Linked DNA regions of Caenorhabditis elegans. The protein of the gene in region 2 interacts with the protein of the main gene of each other region in a biochemical or structural test. Each region holds a gene or a part of one and is shown on either strand. Other genes may lie near its edges. The genes, in order: flp-21, npr-5, flp-18 and flp-3.

Region 1 (4,508 bases), 7.5 Mb from region 2:
GCTTTGAGATAAGGGTAAATTTGAAAATTGACTCTAAAAAAACTCATAAAAAATCACAAAATTGAACAATTGAATTTGTAGAAAATTTATAAAAATGATGCAACTTATCACAGAAGTAGAAATACAATTTTTTGGGCAGAAATATTTTTAGAAAAATTGTTATAGCAGTATTTAGCCACTTATAGACAAATCTCTTCTATAAATAATGTTTAAAAATCACACCAAAGAACTCTTGAATATTGGCCAAAGTCCAAGTAGTTCGTCTCATATTTCTAGACGTTTGTGTTTTGAATTAAATATTTAACTTTCCAGATTCCCACGCCCACTCAATTTCAATATTTTTAAAATATTTATTTTTGGTTTTAGATTTTGAAAATAAGCTTAAAAATATAATTAATCTGAAAGGTCCTGTATTTTGGTCTTTACCTATATTTTTTTAAATAGAAAAAAGCTTATTGCGATTTGAACCATTTGTCTGATGAATACCTTGTTTACTCGTTTTTAGAGCTTTTAAAGCTCATTTTCTTTGTTTGGATGAGATTAATGTACAACGAGATCCTAAAACGACAATATCTATTACGTAATTTACGAATATTGAGTTAACTAAAAATGAATAAGGCTGAAAATAATGTGATAATTTTTTAGGGATAACAGAAATTTGTGCAGAGATCGAAGCAGGAGTTTGTGGCCCCGAATGCTGAATTGACCAAACTAAGAATTTAACGTTAAAATGTATTGTTGAAAAACACTAGAATTTTTGCTCAAAATATGTTATTTTCTGTTTTCGCGGTAATCATAAACCGAATTGGATATTTTATTTTTTCGAAACTTTTGCAATCGGCTCGGCTTTGGTAGGAAACTATGTATAAGTACTACTTTATCTTCAATTCTAGGGAATTCTCGGTTTTATTGTGAATAAAATCCCTAGGACTGATTTTTTCCATGTATTAATTGCCATACGAAATTTCTCGGAAAATGTTCTTAAAAATCATCAAAAACCAAAATTCAACGATCATTACACTTTCCACAAAACTACAAAATTGGCACCCAAAACTCAATTTCAGGAGCTTTATTACTATATAGTCGGCACATTATGTTAGAAATTCAAGAGATAGACGCCTCAATGGATTTATTACGGCAACTACGATCCTTGAAACAGTATCCATAATGTTTGTTCAACCCCTGCAGGGAAGACACCAACTGTTTCATTAATGTAATCCTGACTGATTTTCCCGGATTCTACCATTACAGTTGCAGGGTACAATTGCACAATTGGAAAATTCTTAAATATAAGGGCACTCATAAACTTAATAAAAAGTCAAATGTCAAACTGAAAGCTGTTTTTATTTGTTCAACAGAAAAAGAGGAAGTGAGATAGAAAAAGAGAGAGAGAGTAAAAAGAACATTGTTTCTGCAGCGTTTTCAAAGAGAAAAGGAGAGGATAGATATTTCTTCGGAATTGGAATTGTGGAGTGTCTGGAACATCATTTTTGTATAAAGTTACATTGAGAGGAAAGAGAGAAAATGTTGTGTCATGTTGTTCGTTCGTTCGAGCAGCAACCGTTTATCCAAATCGGAGAGGACGAGGACCGAGACCACGTTTCATTGATCTGAAATTTTAAAATTAGTTTACTTTTTTCTGAATCGCAACTAATTTATTCTAGCTGAATGCTCGTATTTCGGTAAATTATTAATTATAGCGATTTGCAACTTATTCTACAGTAAGACTTGACTTAATAAAGATGTCTATCAGAAAATAATTAAACTGGACCTACCCATGATCGTCTTCGGCAACATAGTAAACTCTGTCACTGCCGGGTCCGAATTGCTCCAAATATGCGTTCACTGAAAAAGATTAATGATTAATCTAAATCTTTAACTTTGACAAAACTTACAAACGCGGAGCGCATCTTCCTGATCGATATAAGGCGCTGCGAGGACCCACGCGAGAAGACACGAAAGCAAGATGAACAGCCGCATCGTCTGAAAATGACTTTTTGGATTTTGGAGCAATGAGAGGGTGGGAGATCAAACGTTGAATACACAATCAAATCTTAAATAGTGTACATAGTCATCGTTGTAAATTTGCATTTGTTAATGAGATTCTTGCGAAGCATGATGGGATGGGGTGGAAAAAAAGAAGTTTTGAGATAAATAGTAAGACGGAAGTGATCACTACGGTAGCTTTGAAACAAGAAATGAATATTTCAGTGTATCCCCTTCCAAATCTACTGGACTACTCACAAAAATGACCTTTGCTCCAAGAGCAACCACCCATCCTAGAACCTAGGCAAATGATACATCGAAATGTTTTTTCAGGTAAGATGATGTTATATGTATACGTGATTCCGGTAAAAGTTTTTTCTGGGAACTATGAGGAGGGTGTATGTGGTGGGAAAACAGGATAGCCCAATATTTATTGGGCACGTCATACTCGTTGCAGAGCATAGTTGAGGTGGCCGGAAATCGCGTTAAAATATGCTATGACTTGAAAACAACAATGGTCCTATTTTGGAAGATGTAATTTTACGCGATAATTCAACGAGAGATTGTAATAAAGACGTGTAGATTTTGAGTAACCATAAAATATGAAAAATTCATGAGTATTACAAATATGCAGTTTTTGGAATAAAGAAAATAGCTGACTTGAAAAATCTACTGCTCGATGACTTTGTCTAATTACGGTCTTGAAAGAAAGCAAACAGCGTCTTGTGCATTATGAGGTTTTTTGAATAAAAGGAAGTGTGCTCCGCTTAATTAAGATAAACATGTTTCAGTGTAAGTAGTTGGTCCCGACTGTAAACGCATCAGAAAACTTTAAGGTGAGAACAGTTGAGTTTCAATGCACGTATTTGATACAGCCAAAAGTTATTAAACTTTAATTGAAAAGTAGAGATTTCCACAACACATCTAACCTTTTAAAAATGTGACAGTTGATTTGAAAAAAAAATCTAGGACTGAACTAGGAAAACTGTTGACATACGTTCTTCTTTCTTTTCCCCTTTAATACCACATTGTTTTGGTCAAAAAAGTCTTTAAGATTTTTAATATTCGCAGACATCTCAACCAAATGAGGAACAGTCACAATGAAGACCACCTCAAAATGCATGTAGGTTCTTCTTTTTTCTGATATTTTTGCACAGCCTTCCCCAAAACATTCACAAACACATAAAAAACACCAACCAATTGATATACCCACAAAAGTGATGTGAAGAGCAAGTGGGAGTAAGATAAATGTGATGAACGATGAGGTGGAGGGTAAAAGTGATGAGAAAATGTAGTCTTACAAATATTCAAAAAAGTTGGTAGTTTTTGATACGATAAGTTTTCGATGAAAACCAAAAAAAGAAATAAAGAAGCTTTATGAGCCGAAAAAAGTAGAGATTTCCACGATTATCGAGTTACTTCGGGGCACATTTCGTCATCATCGAAGAAGAGGAAACAAATTTTCGTTGGCTCATTGACTTTCAAAGTTAAACTTCTTTAGAGAGTTTAGCGAGGCATAAAAACTTGAAAATTTTGTAATTTTTGGACTCGGTTTCAAACTAAAGAATGGAAAAACTTTTCCCTGTCCAAATGTCAAAGTCGCATAAAAATTGTCATTGGTAACAAAAAAAGTAGTGTTTTAGTGGGTCAGTAGATCAAATTTAACATTTGGCAGGTGAAAGAATTTGTAGAGGTACACGTCAAATGCTGGTTTTTGACGCGTTTTCTCCAAGATCTCTTATATTTTGGTTTTGGAAATATCAGCATTTTACGAAGTGGCCACCTAACAATTACAGACGAGTATTCACATCACCATATGTATTTGTGATTTTTCGAGGAATGATATCGAAGACTGAAAATTAGAATAAAATTCCAGGATAAGAAGGCTTTGGCTTAAAATCAGAGCTTAAGCTATTAATTTGTCATTTTATTATTTACGAAACAGCGTTCAGACAGAAATGTCATAGACTCCACAGTAATAAGACAGACGAGTGATCAAAGTTCCGTACAATTTACGAGAGTAATTTCTTACGACGTAACTATCAAGAAATAGGTGACTGCGTTTACATATTTCCGGTTTTTTTGTGAACCTAAAATGATTTTCAAAAAAAAATTCTACTGCGGCAAACACAGACATTCGGACAAGAGAAAGGTACATAGACATGAAAGCGTACCTGCCTACCATGAAAGTTATAGGCCAAACTTAAGGTTACGGTATTTCTAAAAAAAAGTAAGGCAGCGGAAAATTTTTGCCGAAATCGCCCTTTGCCGTCCACCCTCGGATCTAACAATATACAAATAGCCAGCTCGTGTAGTTTGCCAAAATTTAATTCGAAATTTGTTTTAAAAAAATGCTTACAATGTTAAATTGGAAAACCGAGTTTCCAAAATTTTGCTACACTGGGCATAGCGCAGAAATTTTACGCAAATATAATAAAAGTTGTCCTAGAACAAATGGACAAAAATTTGGACCAGGTTCAGAACGTTTATTGATGTTTGGGAAGGCTTATTTTATGCCTACA
Region 2 (8,345 bases):
TTGGAAAACAGTATGAGAAAATGTTTTTTTTTTAATTTTTCTAAATTTTTTAAATGATTTTTTCAATTTTGCAACAATAAATTCGAAATATCTTAGCCTATTTTTCCGTCATTCTAATATAAATTAAATTTGGTAATAGAACATAAACTTTATGAAACTATGAAATTGGCCTAAAAATCGATAATTTAACATTTAAAAATTTTTTTCACGGAAAAATGTCTGAAAAATTGACAAACTATGTTTAAAATAATAAAACAAAAAACATGAAAACGCTGTCATTTATTTAGACGAGAATACAAAAAGAATTCACCGTTTTTTTTTTTGCAAAATTGAAAAAATCATTTAAAAAATTTTGAAAAATTCTATAACTTTTGAAAAGTGACATTTTGGCATATTTGGACTGTGTTCTGTCCATTAGGAAAATAAAACCACGGACACTACTCTACTTTTCGTTGTATTTAACAATGTTTCGGTACTATCATTAGTAGCTGAATTAAAATGAAATAAAATAGGCAAAAAGTGGTAAAAACTTTGTCATAATTTTGAAAGTCGACCAAAAAAGTGTTTTTTCTACACTTTTTATAGTCTTGTTATGTTGAAACGTGTAGCAAATTTCTCACAAAATCCACATTTTTAAAAAGTTTGGCAGAAAGAAATTCTATCGTAATTGAAAAAAAATTGCTACGATTTTTTAGTCGAATTTTTAAAAATAATTTTTAAAAAATCTGTTATATTTTTTTCTGAAAGAATTGAAATTCACATATTTTGTTTGGATTTAAAGTTGCGTTTTTACAGCCAATAATGGTACGGTAGGAGCAATACAGTACGTTTTTTTAAAATAAGTATTTTTCGTGAAGATAAATTTCTCGGATAAAAATGAAAGAAATTTAAAATTTTTAGTAAATTAGTAGATAATTGTTTTCATGATATTTGATCTCTCAAAGGAAATTCCCGGAAAATGATACTCTGCGTTTAAATTGTTGTTTTTGTATTTATATTTTTTTGAATTTGTTTAGTAATGCAAAAAACTTATTTTTGTTTTTGTTACATCTGCCGGGTTCCTCTATTTAGCTGTTTGGTGATCTGATGAATACCGGAACTCGGTTAGTGTCGAGTGCTGCTAAAATTGTGATTCAGGACTCTTATCACCCCTACATTTTCGTAGACACAGAAATATTTGCCTCTTGCTCGGTGTGCATTTTCAAGACGTTTCCCTGTTGTATAATCCCATTTTTCTTTGCGTGCATCTTTATTAGGTGACGCTATTTTGACACAAAAAAAAACAAGAAAAGAAAACAAAGAAAATACAAAAAAGGCAATTAGATTTTTGTGGGGTTGCTGTCTTAGGAGGAGAAAAAGCGGAGCGAACTGGACCCGGATTAATCGCACGTTTCGTTATGCAAAAAATGAACAGAAAATAAAGATAATGGAATTTTTCGAGAGACGGGCAAGATGAACACAGGGGAGTAACGTATAGAATTTACAGCATCTCGCGGGTAGTACTCGTCGAGCCATTAGAAAGAGTTGCCTGCACATCTGTCCGAATGAGTAGAGGTCGGGAGGAGGTCGTGTAGCTGGATCCCTCGCAATCCAGAACCACCTGCTTTTTTCGAACCCTGCAAAATACAATTTTCAAAGATATGAAGGTATTTAGTGAAGCGGCGGACACCCCCCCCCCCCCGGGTTTGCTGTAGGATTAGCAAAACCCAGAAAATGTCGGTTGCGGCGGAAGTAGACTATGTGGTTCATGCAAATCGAGTCTCGAAATTACGCTCAACTAACTGATATCATGGCGCACTAATTTGTTCGGTAGAGCGCACTTGCATTATCGGATTGAAAAAAGCGCATTTAAACGGGAAAATCAACATTTTTTCTGTTTGTTAGCTATAAATTTGTATGGCTCGCTTTTCTCTGTTATTTAGAGCATTTAATAAATTCAAAAACTCAAAACTTGCAAATTTAACGGCGATTGGTCCAGCCTCTGCCAACTAGAATTAAACCCGAAAAAATTTCCAAAAAATTTCCAAAGTCCACGAGTAGTACACGACCCATGACGGCACTGCGCGGCAGACGCGCCCCATCGCAAAGAGGAGATGTGTACCCCATATCAAGCTTGAACAACGTACAAAAGACCAGGAAACAGAATTTTTTCGAGAAAAGTCAAGCAGTTAGAGGATTAGAGAGTTTTTTAAAAGTTAGAAGAGAACCTGTACCTGTCAATATTGTTTCTCCGAAACGTTGACCGCCGAATCGAGTTACTCACTCTACTGGCAAACGAGGACACAATCTGAAAACAAAAGGCGGCTCAGAGGAAGAGAGGGGGGACACAAAGGAAGCAGTGGAAAACGGGAAGAACACCAGGAGCACACGGCTAGGAGCAAACTTTATACAAGGGGACTTGAAGAAGTTTACAATACTCACCTCTGTTGAGTTGAGTATTTTTGACAGTCCGGAACGTTTTTGTTTTCGTGTCAGCCAAAAGAATAGCAGAGGGTTCCAGACGACTAAGGACATGGCTATGACGTGAGCATTTATTGCCCAGAAGAACGGCTGACGTTTTAGCCATTCGGGCTCTTTTTCTGAAAATTTTGGTTTCAATGTGTAGTGATTTTGAACATAAGTTTCGAAAACTACGGCAAATATTTTTTCGAACATTTTAATCGCTCACACTAGGAATTACAGCAGGAATTCTACATAGACCTACCACAGGCAGAAGCTTTTTATGTAGGCTTCCTTTTCGTAACATTACACCGACTTGGATTGAGCAGCATAAATTTTCACCAAATTATAAACTAACCACATTTTGCTCATTTTTACAAACTATACATTTTGACCTTTTTCAATTTAAGAGCCCATGTTACGACTAATTGAACGTGCTGTGCTGAGAAGAGATTTCGTTTTTCAGACCAAAAATGGCCCAAAATTACCAAATTTTGTAGTGAGGCGTTTTGAAAATTTCTCAAAAAAAAAGTTTGGGCGATTATTTTTGGAAAAAATGGCTCATTTTCAGCGAAGGTGTAAATTTTTACCAATTTTTACAAATTTCGGAATTTTTGAGACATTTCGAGTTGAGCTAAACAACTTTTCAAACTTTTTTTAAAAATTTATATATAATTTTTGGTCATTTTAGTAATAGTTTTCAGTCATTTGGGCCGTATTCAACCTTTAATAAGTTAATTTTAATATAAGACAGTCAAAAACAAAATTGAGCAGAAAATGTTGTCAATTATAGTTAGCGTTTTCAAAACAGTTGACTACGATTTTTTTTTCCAAAAAACAAATAAAAACTCACTAAAATCTTTGACCAAATTGAGTAATGTTAAAGGCAACCAACACCCGATAAATGTGACAACCATTGCAATTAGAATATAATTCACTTTCTTCTTTCGTGACGTCGCATCACTTCTCTGCTTTTGTGTCAGTGATTGACAGAATTGAGCATTTTGGATGATCATGTCTTTTGACACTTTTTGCAAGATTTTGAAGTAGCAATACGTGATCACTGCCATCGGCACGACGAACTGCAAATTTGGACGTATGTAGGAAAATTTCAAAAGTTTTAAAAATTTAGGTTTGCAAAATTTTTATGGTTGTTAGGTCAGCGTGTTTTTGCTCACCTGTAACAACATAACCGTAGTTCCGTAAATCTTTCGACTATTTTCGCTCTGCCAATTCGCCTCGTCGCAAAAGTGCCCGCAGTATGGAGTTTCTCCGGGCTGAACGTAAAAGCTTCCATCGACGTGCTCGAAAGACATAAGATACGGTAGATTTATCAGTGTTGAGACTATCCAGATAAGAAATGTTATTGCCAACGCTTGACGAATCTGGAAAGAAAATGAAATTCGAAAATGGTTTTTTTTTTTAATTTTAAAAATGAGTTTTAACCGGAAAAATTTAAAACTATCCAGAATTTCCTAGATTTTTTGGACAAATCCAAAAACTTCAAGATTAGAAAATTTAAACAAAAACCTCTTGGACATTCCTGAAATGTTAACAGCCTTCCAAAAAATTTAAGAAGCTTCAAGAAATTTCTAAAACATTCAAAAAAATTACAGAACCTGTCAGAAAATTCTAAAACCTTGTAGAAAATTATAAAACATCCCAGAAAACTCAAGGAATTTCTAGAAAATTATGGGAATCTCAAAAAAAAATTTAATGTCCAGAAATTTTTAAAGCGTTGCAGAAAACTCAAAAAATTCTGAAAGCTTCCCGATAATTCTAAAACAATAAAAAATGTATAACCTTTCCAAAAAAAAAGTCTGAAGTAGTACAGAAATTTCTAGAACACTTCAGAAAAAATTCTCGAGTCTTCCAGAAAGATTTGAAAACTTGCAGAAAATTCAAGGAATTTTAGAAAAATTCAATAATATCCAAAAAAAATTTAAAAACTACAATAAAATTCCAGAACTATCCAGAAATTTCTAGCTCATTTCAGAATATTCATGAAGCTTCAGAAATATCTAGCACATTTCGAAAAAAACTTACAGAAACTGGTTGTTTGGTGGGATCGTTGATATGCAGAAATTTATCTAAGGAGATTGCAGTGAGGCTCCAACTCGTCACAAACACCGAACACGAATTTGACAAAGGAACTAAATGGCACATCACTGACCCGAATGCCCAGTCTTTGGTCATCGCGTACCTGGAAAATGGGAATTTTTTGAAAGAAAAAATTCATAACATATTCTACAGGAGATATTCACCTAAAAAAACTTGCTCAAAAATTTTAACAATTTTTTTTGAAAATTACTCAATTTTCATTGCAGTAAAAGTTTAGGTTATAAAAATTAAACAATTTCCCTCAAAATTTTCACAAAAATCCATACCATGGTGTGACTGGAATCGCTGTGAACACCAATATCAAATCGGTGAAGATCAAGTTGAGCAGAAATACGTTGCGAGCCGATTGGAGCCGCTTGTTTCTCGCCACCGCCCATAGTACGCCGCCGTTTCCAAAAATGCCTAATACAAACAGGAACCCGTAGAGGAATGTGAAGATTGATCGGATGTAAAAGTCTCTGCAAAAATTTGATTTTTTGAGTGTAGGGGAGGAGAGGGTAGGACTTTGAGTATGGCCGGCACGTGAGACAAAAAAATGACGTCATACAAACCGTAAGGTGTCGGGTGCTACACGTGGCAGAAAAAGTTACGCCAATCATGCCCGCGAGGTGTCTACCGCTACTTGTCAAAGGAAGTGACCACACAGTGCGGCAGACATCTCTCGGTCATGTTCCACGTCACTTTCTTACAGCTTTAGTGTGACAGAGGAGGGACGTCGTTCATTACAGTAATATGTCGGCTGCTAAATCTAGAAGAGCAACGACGTTAGACATACCCTTGAAATGTCGGCTGCTAAGTTATCTAAGGTATTCAAACTTTCTCTTTTTGTTTCCCTGCGATCGCCAGTTTAATGTCCCCATTTAATTTTCATGGATGCTTCCAGCTCAAGAACATTTGAAAAAAATGTCAAGAGCACACAGCTGTCGGATGTCACAACAACTGTATCATCTATCTCTCTCCACCCTAGTTCTCAACAACTTTTCTCACACTGATAATGATAACAAAAATTTGCCAATTGATTTTTCTCCAAGGAAAATGAGAAAGAGAGCACTTTTCCATGTCACTCGTCAGCCACATGTCAAAAGTTGAAATGTTTGAGGACAAGTCTCTCGAGCGGTTTTGGGTGAAAAAGATGAGATCGTTGAACTATGACGGAAATTGTGATTTTTGTGGTGAGAAAAGTTGACAGGTTTTTTTGGAAATTATAAGTTAGAAAATCCATCCAGGATACCCAAAACTTACACAGTAATATCATCGATGCCTTGTGCCGCAATCGCCTCAGCGATCTGAATGCACGAGCCATTGTTCGAATGACTTGTGATAACGTTGCTGATGGTGGAGGGAGTCGTTGTGGTTGAAATGGTCGAAATGGTGGCCGCCGAACTAACCATGCATCGAAGGTTCTGGAATTGAAAATTTGATATTAAAGAGAGAATCTTTCAGAGGGGTAATATAATCGATAAAAGGATTTGAAAAAAAAAATTCAAAAAAGTCAAAATCACATAAAAACGTTTTGAAGAAAATTACATGCATAAAATCCATAAAATAAAAATATCGTTGAAAATTTTAGAGTTTTTAAATTTTTTAAATTCGAAAATCGAAAAATGTTTTTTTCTAAAATGGGAAAATCGAAAAGCGTGTTCTGGAAATTAATCATAAAATCCAATTTTCTATCAAATTTCAGTCGATGAAAAAAAAAAGGAAATTTCTTCTAAAAAAAAGAAAAATGGTAAAAATTTTGAGCTATTGTTCGGGAAGTAAAATTTTTATATTTTTAGATTCTTTTTTTTAGATTTTCAAAAAAAAAATCAAATTTTACATAAATTGTTATGTTAATGAAGTTAAATAAATCAATCTCGAAACCCGCTTTAAAATGTGCCAGGTAGTTCAAAAAACAAAGAATAATCTCCATAATTTTAGGACTAAACAAAAAACCTTTAAAAAATCAAAAAAATTATCTAAATGTCTCAGTCTTCCCAGTAAATCCTTGGTTTTTGACCTATGGGCTTCCAACAAAAAGTGTAAAAATAAATTATTATATGTACGTCACACAAAAAAAATTTGACAAAGATAACAAAGAGATTAAATAAAGAAAAGCTCTCCCTTGACCGATCACCAGTCCATTTTTGACCTATTAAAAAACATCAATTATTTAAAATTTAAGCTTGAAAAAAGTCACATGGCTCCTAGGAATAAAGCTAGCTTCTAACAATTCACCCAAAATTTGGAGGTATTCAGCGTGATAAGGTGGATAAAGTGTGACTAATGTTTGGTTCAATGGCAATTTGATGAATGAAATATGTAAAAGGGGGTCACAGGAAACTCGCATCATTATTATATGACTACCAATTTTTGACTACCAATTTTTCTTGGGCCTAACTTTTCAGGTAAGCATCAGGCAATTGGGCTTGCCTGAGGCGCCTTCCCTGCCTACCACAATTATAGGCTTTGTTTTAATAACAAATTTGTAAGTTTAAAGTAAAGTTCAAAAATGATAGTTTAGTTTTAAAACATTTTTTCGAATGCCAAAAAAATTCCAATTCCATTTAAGTGACGGGGTTTTTTCGAGGTATTTTTAGAACATTTACTAATGAAACAACAAAATTTTATAAAGTATTGGAGTCTAAAATTCTGCAAATGATATGATAAGATTATCAGAGCACACTTTTGGCTTTTAGAGCAAAAAAAGATGGAGAAGAAAGGAGAGAGAGAAATAAGGTTCAACAAGATTAGAGCAATTGGACGGAGATAGGGCGGAGATGCGATAATCTTTGACGTTTTTACGGCGAGTGGAGATGGAGAAGGAGGATTCTTAAAAACTGCGTGAGCCGGCAGTATGTCTAGTGAAATTTGAGAACACTACGAGAAGACTATCACCTGGTGTGGGAATTTGAAGGTAGGCAGGTAGTTTAGAAGGTTTTTATGGGTGAGCTCAATGGGGGGGGGGTGTTGAGTTTGAGGAGCAAGAATAACGATATAAGAAGAAGCAGTGAGATGGGAATTTTTTAGAAAAGTTTCAGGTAGACAGGCGCGTGTTTTAAATGTGCCTACCTACCAGTGTTGTGCGGTTAAAAAATTATATGAAAATTTTTACAGTGGTAAATTTCAACTTTTTGAATCCAAAAATTATGAAGAAATAAAAAATAATAATGATTTTTGCTTAAAAAAAACTTTTTAAAACTTTGAATAGAGCCTGAAAGTTACCGTTTCCCGTTAATCATTTATGGAAAAATTCCAGGTTACTTTAGTAGTGTTTACCATATGTGTATTCAAAAGATGTTTCAATTTTTAAAGGGAAATTGGAACATCGAAAAAAAATGTTTAGAGAATTAACCATATAATTTGTTTAACCCAATTTTGTTAACATATAAAATTTTTTTTTTCTAAATTTAAATTCTGTAGAAGAATTTACATTTAAAAAATTCCAAAAATAAACTCCACCCCTTTCTTGGTTGAAACTGTTTTTTTTTCATCGAAATTGGAAATTGTGAAGTTTAAGTGAAAAACTATCTTCAAAACTACGTGAGTTTATTGTTTTGTCTAAAATGTGAAAAATAATAGTCTGTTTTACAGAAAATTCGGCTTGTAAAAACAGAAATTTAATCTGATAGACATGGACTTATAGTGTTAGACAAATTTCAATCTATAACACAAAACAACTAGTCATGTTTGTTAAAATCCGAAATTTGTTCAGCGAAAGGCTTTATATAAATATTTTTCGGTATCTTGTGCACTAAAAACGGATGTTCTCGAACAAAAAAAATATGCACAAAAGGAGATAATCC
Region 3 (5,665 bases), on a different chromosome or scaffold from region 2:
AATCTTGGACTCTTGCTTTTCACAAAAAAAACCTTATAAACAAAAATAAGACATCTGAAAAAATGATGAACTTCCTGTCAGTTTGTTCCAGTATCCTTCTTAAATTTCCTTGTTTTCCACATCACAAAAATCCTACATCACGCTTCGACTCATTTCCTGACAGTCATCACATCACCAAATGAATTTCTATTTTTACAATATAGTTGTAGTATTTTTGTCGAACATATATTGTTCTAACTAACTTCTTAAAAAATTGTGCTCTTGACTGAACACAAATTTCTGCGTCGTTTCACGTTTACTTTTCTCAATTTTTTAAAACCAAAATTTAACTGCAAACTTCTGCATTGTTCTAAAAACTCACAGGTTATCTCAAAAAGATAAATTTCAAAGTGAGATTTTTTTAAAAAAATTCCGGACTGTTTTTTGATTTTGATGTTTTTAATGAATTTTTAAAATTCTTTATTAGTGCCTGAAATTAACAATAATTTTAAAGTTTGTCACACTGCGAATAAATTAATCTCACATTTCGTATGTTTAGAAAGATGCATGAAACTCCGTCGTTCTTATGAAGTTAATTAAGACATGGCTAATTGAAAGCCCACATGGTCATGAAAAAGTAAAACTTACAACTTTTTACTGAATATTAACCAGTCTCTATAAATATCCCAGCTTAGCCGGAATAGGGTCACGAAAACATGAAAATAAAGCTTGAACCTATTGTTATGATTTTCAATGCCACCTTTTGCAGTTTAATATACACTATTACTACTTCTCAGTTCAAGTTCACTTCTGAGACGGAACCTTTATTTTCTAACTTTCTTTAATCTTACTTTTTATGAGCCGAATGTTCTATTTTGTAAAATGATCAGATACAAGCCCAAAGCTAATTTTGCCAATAAGTGTTAGTAGATCAATTGAATTACAATATAATGACCTGGGCGGAATAGATTTTTGCACTGATTTTTTTCCAAGCTTACTCTATGAATATTCATAGATCATCTTCAAAGGTAGCGTGTGTTGTAGTTGTGTTTTGGCGGGTTCGTGTTATTTGACTCAGCTCAAGTAGATGTTGTAGTCTTCCCTCAATCAACGCGTGGGCTTGACCCTCTTTAAATTGAGTGGAAACCAGCCAATCTATTTGAAATCTACCCCCGAAATGAGATTCGACGATGACACGACGTGTGTGTTACGTGCGCTGAGAATTTAGGAAAAAAAAGATAATCTTCTTTTCGTTAGCTGCGCCACAACCTGTGCAGATAAACTCCGCACAATTGAAGTTCTTACTGGTCCCACCCGATTTATTCAATTGTATTGTGTCTTTTTTTCTTATTTCTCTACAACTCTAACTTTCTTCAACTATTCTCTACATCAGTGCTTTTTTCCACCATGAAAAAAGAAATGACGTCGTTGTTTCTTAGGAGGGGCGGAGCCTCAACTCAATGGTCCGTTCGAATAGATCCCACCCCTCATATAAATAGGACTGAAACCAAAGAAGTTTTTAAATTTTCAGCTTACCGTGTTTCTCAATTTTCAAAATAGTCTTTTTTGTGTCTGAACGGGCTGATCAATTATGTTTTTTTTTGAATGAAAAATCTTCCTCCCAAGCCTTAAAATTCCTTCCAAAGATCGAAAGTTATGTCTATTCAAGTTACTTCTTCTTAGATCAAATATTAAACAAAAAAATACGCCATCATTCTCTCACATTTAGTAATTCAAAATTTCGATTTGTTTTCGAACTTTTGAATTTCCCGCCTAGGAAGTGACATGAGTGAAATCTCATTAGATAAATGTGCCACTCACCGATGACACTATTTTCAAATAAGGGGGGGGGGTGTTTCGAATACCTTGTACACGCGTTTCCGCAAAACCACACACCCCGAGTTCCTCAGCTTCTTCCCCTCGACCCATGAGCCACGTCAAGATGTCAGCGTGTCACTTTTCATTGCTTCACCTTCTACGGTAACGAGAAAAGGCGGGGAATCCAGGATCTGGTGTGACTTCTTCCTTCTTCGTATCTTCCTAAAAATGTTCGTTTACTTTTTAGCGAGTGTCATTTGATGGGATGTCGTTCTTGAGGAAAGAGGCTAGAAGCTTAATACTCTCATATTTCATATTATTGGCATCAAGACGTTTATTATTTAACTACAATAACGATTGCTTTAACAACTAAAAATAATAATTTCAGGGTTAGACATGCAACGGTGGTCGGGCGTTCTTCTCATTTCGCTGTGTTGTTTGCTTCGTGGGGCGCTCGCATATACCGAACCAAGTAAGTTCTTGATGAACGAAACAAAGAAAAGTCTTGGCTGATCCAATCTCTTAATTGGGTTTGAAGGGAGTTTGGATAGCCCCAGATCAGCGTGGAAGATTGAATAAAATGACGGCAATAATTTGTCTTAATGTAATCTTGAATTTTATTTTAAAATTTTTAACTTTGTAGTTTGTCGAAACGTTGGTTTCGCGTACATTAGTTTTTTTTCAAAATTCTGGACCTGACGTAGTTAGCTGAAATAATTTTGCGCGGTGTTCAAACATCGCATCCGTATTGAAACTTCATTAGTTTTTATAAGCTTCTGTGATATTCATTTTCCAGTGAGACCTATGAATAATCTTCGCTGCTTCCCACGGTCCGTGAATCTCTAGACTTGGTGTTATTGTCTTATTGAAAAGTGTTTCCACTGACCTTCAAACTTTCTATAATCTAGAGTGGCCCAATGTATTTTTGGAAGGAAAAACGCTTGGATGAAAACAAGATGTAGCGGGAAAAAAAGGGGGCGCCTATGGATATTGTGGAAAGATAGTGTTGAGTTGGATGCTGAGTTTTTTATTCTTTCTTGTCGGGGCCCGTTGGGACATGTTTCGTTCGATGGTGCTCTGTACCCATCTAGACCAACGCGGGAAGCCAAGTAAAATGACGCTGTCGTTCTGCCAAAGTGATGTATTTCGACGATTTCAATCAACAAGAAACGTGTTTTTTTTCGTTTCTTTTTTCAACAGGGGTGCACAATTGAATTGTGTCGATTTGAAAGCATGAATTTGAAATTTTTGAAAATTCTCGTAAGGTCGATCGAAACACATACATAACTGCAATTAGGAGGAATTTGGACGCTTAGCGTCCGATAGGGGCGCAAACTTTTTTTTCCAAGGGGTAGTTTTTCACGGCGTCCGATAACTTCCGAGTTTGACCACTCACTATACATAATCATATAATTTTATAATGAGTGGCTCAACTCGGAAATTGTCGGACGCCGGACGTCCGATATGGCAGCCCTAAATACAAGACGGCACATTGAAACAACTTATATTTTCAGTCTATGAAATCGTCGAAGAAGACATACCAGCAGAGGATATCGAAGTGACTCGGACCAACGAGAAACAAGACGGTCGGGTATTCTCAAAAAGAGGTACAAAATTCTTCGTACAACTAACCATCAATTTTTTGTCTAATTTCAGACTTTGATGGGGCGATGCCAGGTGTGTTGCGCTTTGGAAAACGTGGAGGTGTTTGGGAAAAAAGAGAAAGCAGTGTGCAGAAAAAAGAAATGCCGGGAGTGCTCCGTTTCGGTAAACGTGCATATTTTGACGAGAAGAAAAGTGTTCCAGGTAAGTAGTTCCTTGTTGGTTTATTGCATACTGAAAATTGACTTTCAGGAGTTCTTCGCTTCGGGAAACGCTCATATTTCGATGAGAAGAAAAGTGTTCCAGGTGGCATCATCATCTATTCTAAATCAAATAACATCTCAGTTTTTAGGCGTTCTTCGTTTCGGAAAACGTGATGTGCCAATGGACAAACGGGAGATCCCAGGAGTGTTGAGATTCGGAAAGAGAGATTACATGGCTGATTCGTTCGACAAGCGCAGTGAAGTGCCCGGAGTTCTCCGTTTCGGAAAACGCGATGTTCCCGGTGTATTGAGGTCCGATCATTTTAAGACTTCATCCAGCTTACCAAGGTTTTTGTTTTCAGATTTGGAAAGCGATCCGACTTGGAAGAGCATTACGCAGGGGTTTTGCTCAAGAAAAGTGTGCCAGGTGTTCTCCGATTCGGACGGAAGTAAATTGTAAGTTTCTAAATAAGATTTTGCCAGTCTGACATGTATCAAGTTTCAGATGAATGTGAATGTAAAATGTGCCAGCGACAATTCGATGATCTCGTTGTTTTTCTTCTTTTCTTCCGAGCGTCTCATTTCAATCACTTAATATTAAGTTTTTGTCTCTTTTCAACAATGATACTAAACGTTGTCAATTCTAGAGCTCCATACGATTAAATGAATCATTTCCTGTTACGTCAAACACAGTTCGTCTAATTTTTGAGTAATGTAGTTGTGTGTCTATCAATTGTTTTCTGAACAATGTTGAAAAGCAGATTTGTTCATGGTTGACGTGTGTTGAAAAGAATAATTACCTCCAACTCTGTGCATTTTAGGAATTGATTCATTGAGCTTTCAAACGATGAAAAAGTATGCTTTGTGTTATGTCAGTTATCAGATTAGATAAGTCTAAACAGAACCCAGTGTGAAATGAGTCTATTCATGAAGCTGCTGAAAATTTGAAGCATGTGTATCAAAATGATTCCAAAAAATTTGAAACGCAGAAAAGTTTTTTGAATTATCAAATAACCAACTTCATGTGCACAGGTAATTTCCGTCCTTAATTCTCTTTCAAGTTTCAGATTTGATTAATTGAATCTGGGATCATGAAGATTTTTTCAAACTGCTTTTCCCAATACACTGATGAATCTAGTACTGTACAATTTTTCTTTCATTTCAGAGAGAGCATCAATATTAAAATTAATTGTAAGCAAGTCAACAAAGTCAACAAGTTTTCTACTTAATTATGGCTTCACTTTTCACTACGTTCATTAACAATAATTTTAAGTACCGTATGTTTCGGAGTGGTATCCAACCCATGAGGTACTGATAGGACTAACAAAAAATTCTTAATCAATTAACTTATTAGGGGTGATTAAAGGAAAAAACCTTGAATCACAACATTTGACGCATCCATTTAATTGGCCGTCGGGCCCGTGCGGCGGTGTTGAAGACTGAAGATTAGGCCAATGTGCGTAGCGCCATGATGATGAGAGTACGGTCGTTGTTGTGTGTGTGTGTGATAAACACTCTTTACGTTGGTCCGGACAGAGGAATTGGGGGAGAAATGCGTTGATGATGTGTTGACCGATGAAGATAATAGCTATAAAATTTACATTTTACTATTGCCTCTTTTTCACAAAAAAAATTAATTTCTCACTTTGATAGCAATATCGATCATTTTCGTACATGATTCACAGCTCCATTTCTTTTCATTTAACCAACGTCCATCCTTCGTTCTAAAACGCACATTATTAACTTATCGAGTTTTTATGAATGAATGCATGCACTCTGCTAATATATTTGACCTTTAAGAGCAAAACACATAATCATAATTTGGTTACAAAAACTGTTATAATATAAATGCCAAAGATTAGAGGCATACTCACCGATCCGGGCAGAGTGACAGTAAATGAGCACATGTCATAGTTTGAGAGGAACGTGCGTTGGTATGGAAGATTTCTTTGTTGAAGCCATCCAATAGATCCGTTACAATTTCGAGACTGCGTGCAAGCGTCTTCTAATTTTTCCATTCATTTGACAAATTCGAAGAAAAAACGAGTGACTAGAGGAGATGA
Region 4 (3,234 bases), on a different chromosome or scaffold from region 2:
CTGCATTTTATAACTCCATTTTTAATATACAAAAAATGAAGCAACAGATAACATTGTGAACTAGTAACGATGACTGTTCAGAATAAGAACAAAACGAATAAGCAGAAAAGGGAAAATATGCGTTTATTGTGAACATTCAGCGTTTTATTTTTAATTTGCAGTTCATCCATAATATTTTTTTCCTTGACTCTGTGCTTTAGTGATAGTTCTATTGTGAGTAGGCTGAGTAAACTTCTTTAAGAAGCCGGCAGTTTCCACGCATTCATTGGTTGGCACATGTTGGTCTTCTGTAAACATCTGAAATGTTCGAATTCATATTTGTTTTCAAGTGTCTAAAGGGGAAAACACCGGAAGTTTTGGCCAATCGGATGATGAAAGCGGACGAGCGAACCATGAAATTGTGTTCGAGAATTTCTCCATCAAAAGCAAAGACTAAATTTGAGAATCTTACAGTTTGCTAGCTAACTATTTTGGTCAAGCGTGAACAACTAACAACAAAATTTAACAAAGTGAATAATAACATTAATTTATTCTCCAATCTATGCAAACCACTTGATGAGAAGAACAGAGAAGGGGGTATTATGGAATAGTCGTTTTTCCTTAGTTTTTTGCAAAAGCCCAAGAATTATGCAATCGTTTCGGTATATTTTGGTATGAATTAGAAGCCAGAATGATAAATAATGTTAAAAGAGAGTGCCACTGCTGCGGGGGTGTTGAACATGAAAACTTAGTTGAAGCGAGAATAATATAAACGTGAAAAGTGAAAATAGAAATTATTTTCCAAAGCGCATGGTTCCAAGAGGGTTTCTTTTGCCAAAGCGCATTGTGCCAAATGGAGCACTGTCGTCAGCTGATCTTTTTCCAAAGCGCATAGTTCCAAGTGGCTCTTCTAAAAGCATAACATTGTGAAATCAAACTTTAGTACAGAACTGTATACCTGCTTCACGTTTCCCAAATTTCATTGTTCCAAATGGCGCATTACCGTCTTCTCTCTTTCCAAAACGCATGGTTCCAAACAGAGCATCCTCACTAGCACGCTTTCCAAATCTCATTGTTCCGAATGGTGTGTCGTTCTCAGGATTACGTTTTCCAAAACGCATAGTACCGAATGGCTCTGGAAACAGGTGGGTATAGTTTTTGAAAATTAATTATTTGTATAATACCTGCACTTCGTTTTCCAAAACGCATAGTTCCCAATGGAGTGCGCTGATCACGAATGACGGGCTCCGAAGAATCAACAGTAGACCGCTTCCACATTACATTTGACGGATAGTATCCATCCTCCTCAAATGTCATTTCATCAGCAATGGCTCGTTTGCCAAAGCGCATTGTTCCCAGTGGAGACCGTTTTGGTGTGGCATCTAAATACTTTTCATTCTATTTCAAAAACATAATTTCTATTCTCCTACCCGACGCTACCAAAAACGCGCAATTCACACAGAAGAGCAGGATGAGGTGATTGGGCGATATCATTGGTGGTTATGGTGGTGTTACGCGGGAGCTAACACACAAGGGGTACCTTAAAATATAACAATTAGTTACGGAAAATTTAGTCAAGAAGAAGTAGAAGTGAGGTTGTGAACCGCCGAGATATTTGCATGTTTTTATATGAGCTTAATTTCAACAATTTTAACGGTTCAGTTGTCATGCCGGAAGAGGTGTGTGGGGTTTTAGAAATTTGGTCAGGAATGCGTAAATACTGTGTGCAGTTAGAAAAATGTTCATGTGAAACGAGTAAAATTGAAATCCGGTGCTCAAAAATTATTGAAAATCTGAGCTTTGGCGAACAACTTTGTTTAATAAGTACTCGGTACATTCTATTGTCAGGTAAAAATTGGAGGCGTTGGCAATTTGGTTTAAAGGGGCGGGTTTCTAAAAAGTAAGTGGTCCCTTGATGTTGCAATGCACAGGTCAAACGATTACTATTGTGTCGAGAAAAGACTTCGAAAATGCACGATTTGACGTACGACGTCTACCGCCGCCCAACACTCCTTCAAACAAATTGCCAAGTAACAATGCTATTGCTCTTTTATTGCGGCCAGAGTTTCTATTAAAAAACGGTGGCACCTCAATTTATGCATCGTCATGTGACATTTTTGGAATACTCTAAGAAAAGAAATAAGATAATTGAGTCTAAAAAGACACTCGAAATTAGTAGAAGAAGCGTAGGTGGTAGTTTTCAAAGTTCAGGTTAATAATTTGAAACTGAAAGAATTGTGTTGAAACGGGGCGGCGGTTAACGGAAGAGGTGGGATCTCTCGAAAAACCTATAAATTTTGATGTTCAACATCATAATTCAAGCCTAGATGGATAACGAGAATGACGACTCGAACCCATTTTTTTGATGGGATACTGTAACTTTGTGACATCAACTCTCACACAGCCCACCGCCAATTATTAAATCTTTGCGTGCACAGCTAGTCAAATGTAAGTCTTGATTGATAATTGTCAGGTACGAAATTTAAACCGGGACTGGTGTTAGTTCAAAACGTAGATAGACATTTGTTCTCAAAAAAGAAAGAAATGACAGAATCCGATTGGTGCCTGTTGGTTGAGATGCCACCTTGTCGAATTTGTGAAGCGAAGCTGATTAATGAACTGAGCTTTAAGGAGGGGGGATTTTCTGTTTTTGAATAATTAAACATTATTTTTTGTCAAAAACGTCACTTGTCAGAACGCGAGAAATGATTAAGTAGGTTGAACTAATCTTGTTCTCAAGATTGAACAGTGTTTTGAAATTAAAACGAAAACTAATAAATCAAAGCTTCTTGGAAATTCTAGCACCTTCCAAAGTCACTCCACATGTTTAATTATGAGCACTCATTGACATTTCCGAAACAATTCTTTGAAGAACTAGCAAGACTGAATTTTAAAATTTTGATCTTGAAAATAGTGTGCCTCGTTTTCTGACCTAATCTGGCTAAAATCTGAAATTCAGTGCCAGTAGTCGTTTCCTTTGTTCGCGAAGAAAACGTAAGACTTGGTTAACAGATGGGCTATTATTCCATGCGGAACCCAACCACTTTATTCGAAGTTATAGGAAACATAGTTTAAAAAATGTTGTTGCATTGAAAGTACGGATCAAAATATAGGACGAGAATGGGAAGAAAATGTTGGAATATCTAATATGATGTTGGCTGAGTAGTGGGGTTCACCGTGCATTGAATCATTGATAGGATGGAGTTATTGGAAGTCGTAATCTGGCAGCGGATTGAATCGTTTTCCGAAACTGAA

Evidence for each region.
Region 1: of the proteins of npr-5 (region 2) and flp-21, one has a biochemical effect on the other in vitro, tested with the Caenorhabditis elegans proteins (2 studies listed by BioGRID).
Region 3: of the proteins of npr-5 (region 2) and flp-18, one has a biochemical effect on the other in vitro, tested with the Caenorhabditis elegans proteins (4 studies listed by BioGRID, with this or other methods).
Region 4: of the proteins of npr-5 (region 2) and flp-3, one has a biochemical effect on the other in vitro, tested with the Caenorhabditis elegans proteins (one study listed by BioGRID).

What each region holds. Positions count from the first base shown.
Region 1 is NC_003283.11:7,790,842-7,795,349, reverse strand, and holds flp-21 (GLGPRPLRF-amide), read right to left. Parts: upstream 1,984-4,508; 5' UTR 1,981-1,983; coding exon 1,896-1,980; intron 1,846-1,895; coding exon 1,776-1,845; intron 1,611-1,775; coding exon 1,565-1,610; 3' UTR 1,325-1,564; downstream 1-1,324. UniProt on the Caenorhabditis elegans protein: FMRFamide-like neuropeptide. Involved in modulating locomotion quiescence during the sleep-like state called lethargus which occurs during molting between larval and adult stages, acting via the G-protein coupled receptor npr-1.
Region 2 is NC_003283.11:275,754-284,098, forward strand, and holds npr-5 (G-protein coupled receptors family 1 profile domain-containing protein), read right to left. Parts: upstream 5,964-8,345; 5' UTR 5,952-5,963; coding exon 5,803-5,951; intron 5,019-5,802; coding exon 4,827-5,018; intron 4,643-4,826; coding exon 4,486-4,642; intron 3,825-4,485; coding exon 3,618-3,824; intron 3,522-3,617; coding exon 3,293-3,521; intron 2,580-3,292; coding exon 2,422-2,579; intron 2,288-2,421; coding exon 2,214-2,287; intron 1,617-2,213; coding exon 1,481-1,616; 3' UTR 1,233-1,480; downstream 1-1,232.
Region 3 is NC_003284.9:3,010,807-3,016,471, reverse strand, and holds flp-18 (SVPGVLRF-amide 3), read left to right. Parts: upstream 1-2,185; 5' UTR 2,186-2,193; coding exon 2,194-2,269; intron 2,270-3,311; coding exon 3,312-3,404; intron 3,405-3,453; coding exon 3,454-3,603; intron 3,604-3,651; coding exon 3,652-3,705; intron 3,706-3,751; coding exon 3,752-3,914; intron 3,915-3,964; coding exon 3,965-4,055; 3' UTR 4,056-4,058; intron 4,059-4,107; 3' UTR 4,108-4,282; downstream 4,283-5,665. UniProt on the Caenorhabditis elegans protein: FMRFamide-like neuropeptides. Ligand to G-protein coupled receptor npr-1. Involved in modulating locomotion quiescence during the sleep-like state called lethargus which occurs during molting between larval and adult stages, acting via npr-1.
Region 4 is NC_003284.9:10,091,446-10,094,679, forward strand, and holds flp-3 (TPLGTMRF-amide), read right to left. Parts: upstream 1,520-3,234; 5' UTR 1,474-1,519; coding exon 1,410-1,473; intron 1,362-1,409; coding exon 1,164-1,361; intron 1,115-1,163; coding exon 938-1,114; intron 890-937; coding exon 774-889; 3' UTR 501-773; downstream 1-500. Other genes in the region: flp-2 (SPREPIRF-amide), read right to left, coding at 3,184-3,229. UniProt on the Caenorhabditis elegans protein: FMRFamides and FMRFamide-like peptides are neuropeptides. SAEPFGTMRF-amide inhibits the activity of dissected pharyngeal myogenic muscle system.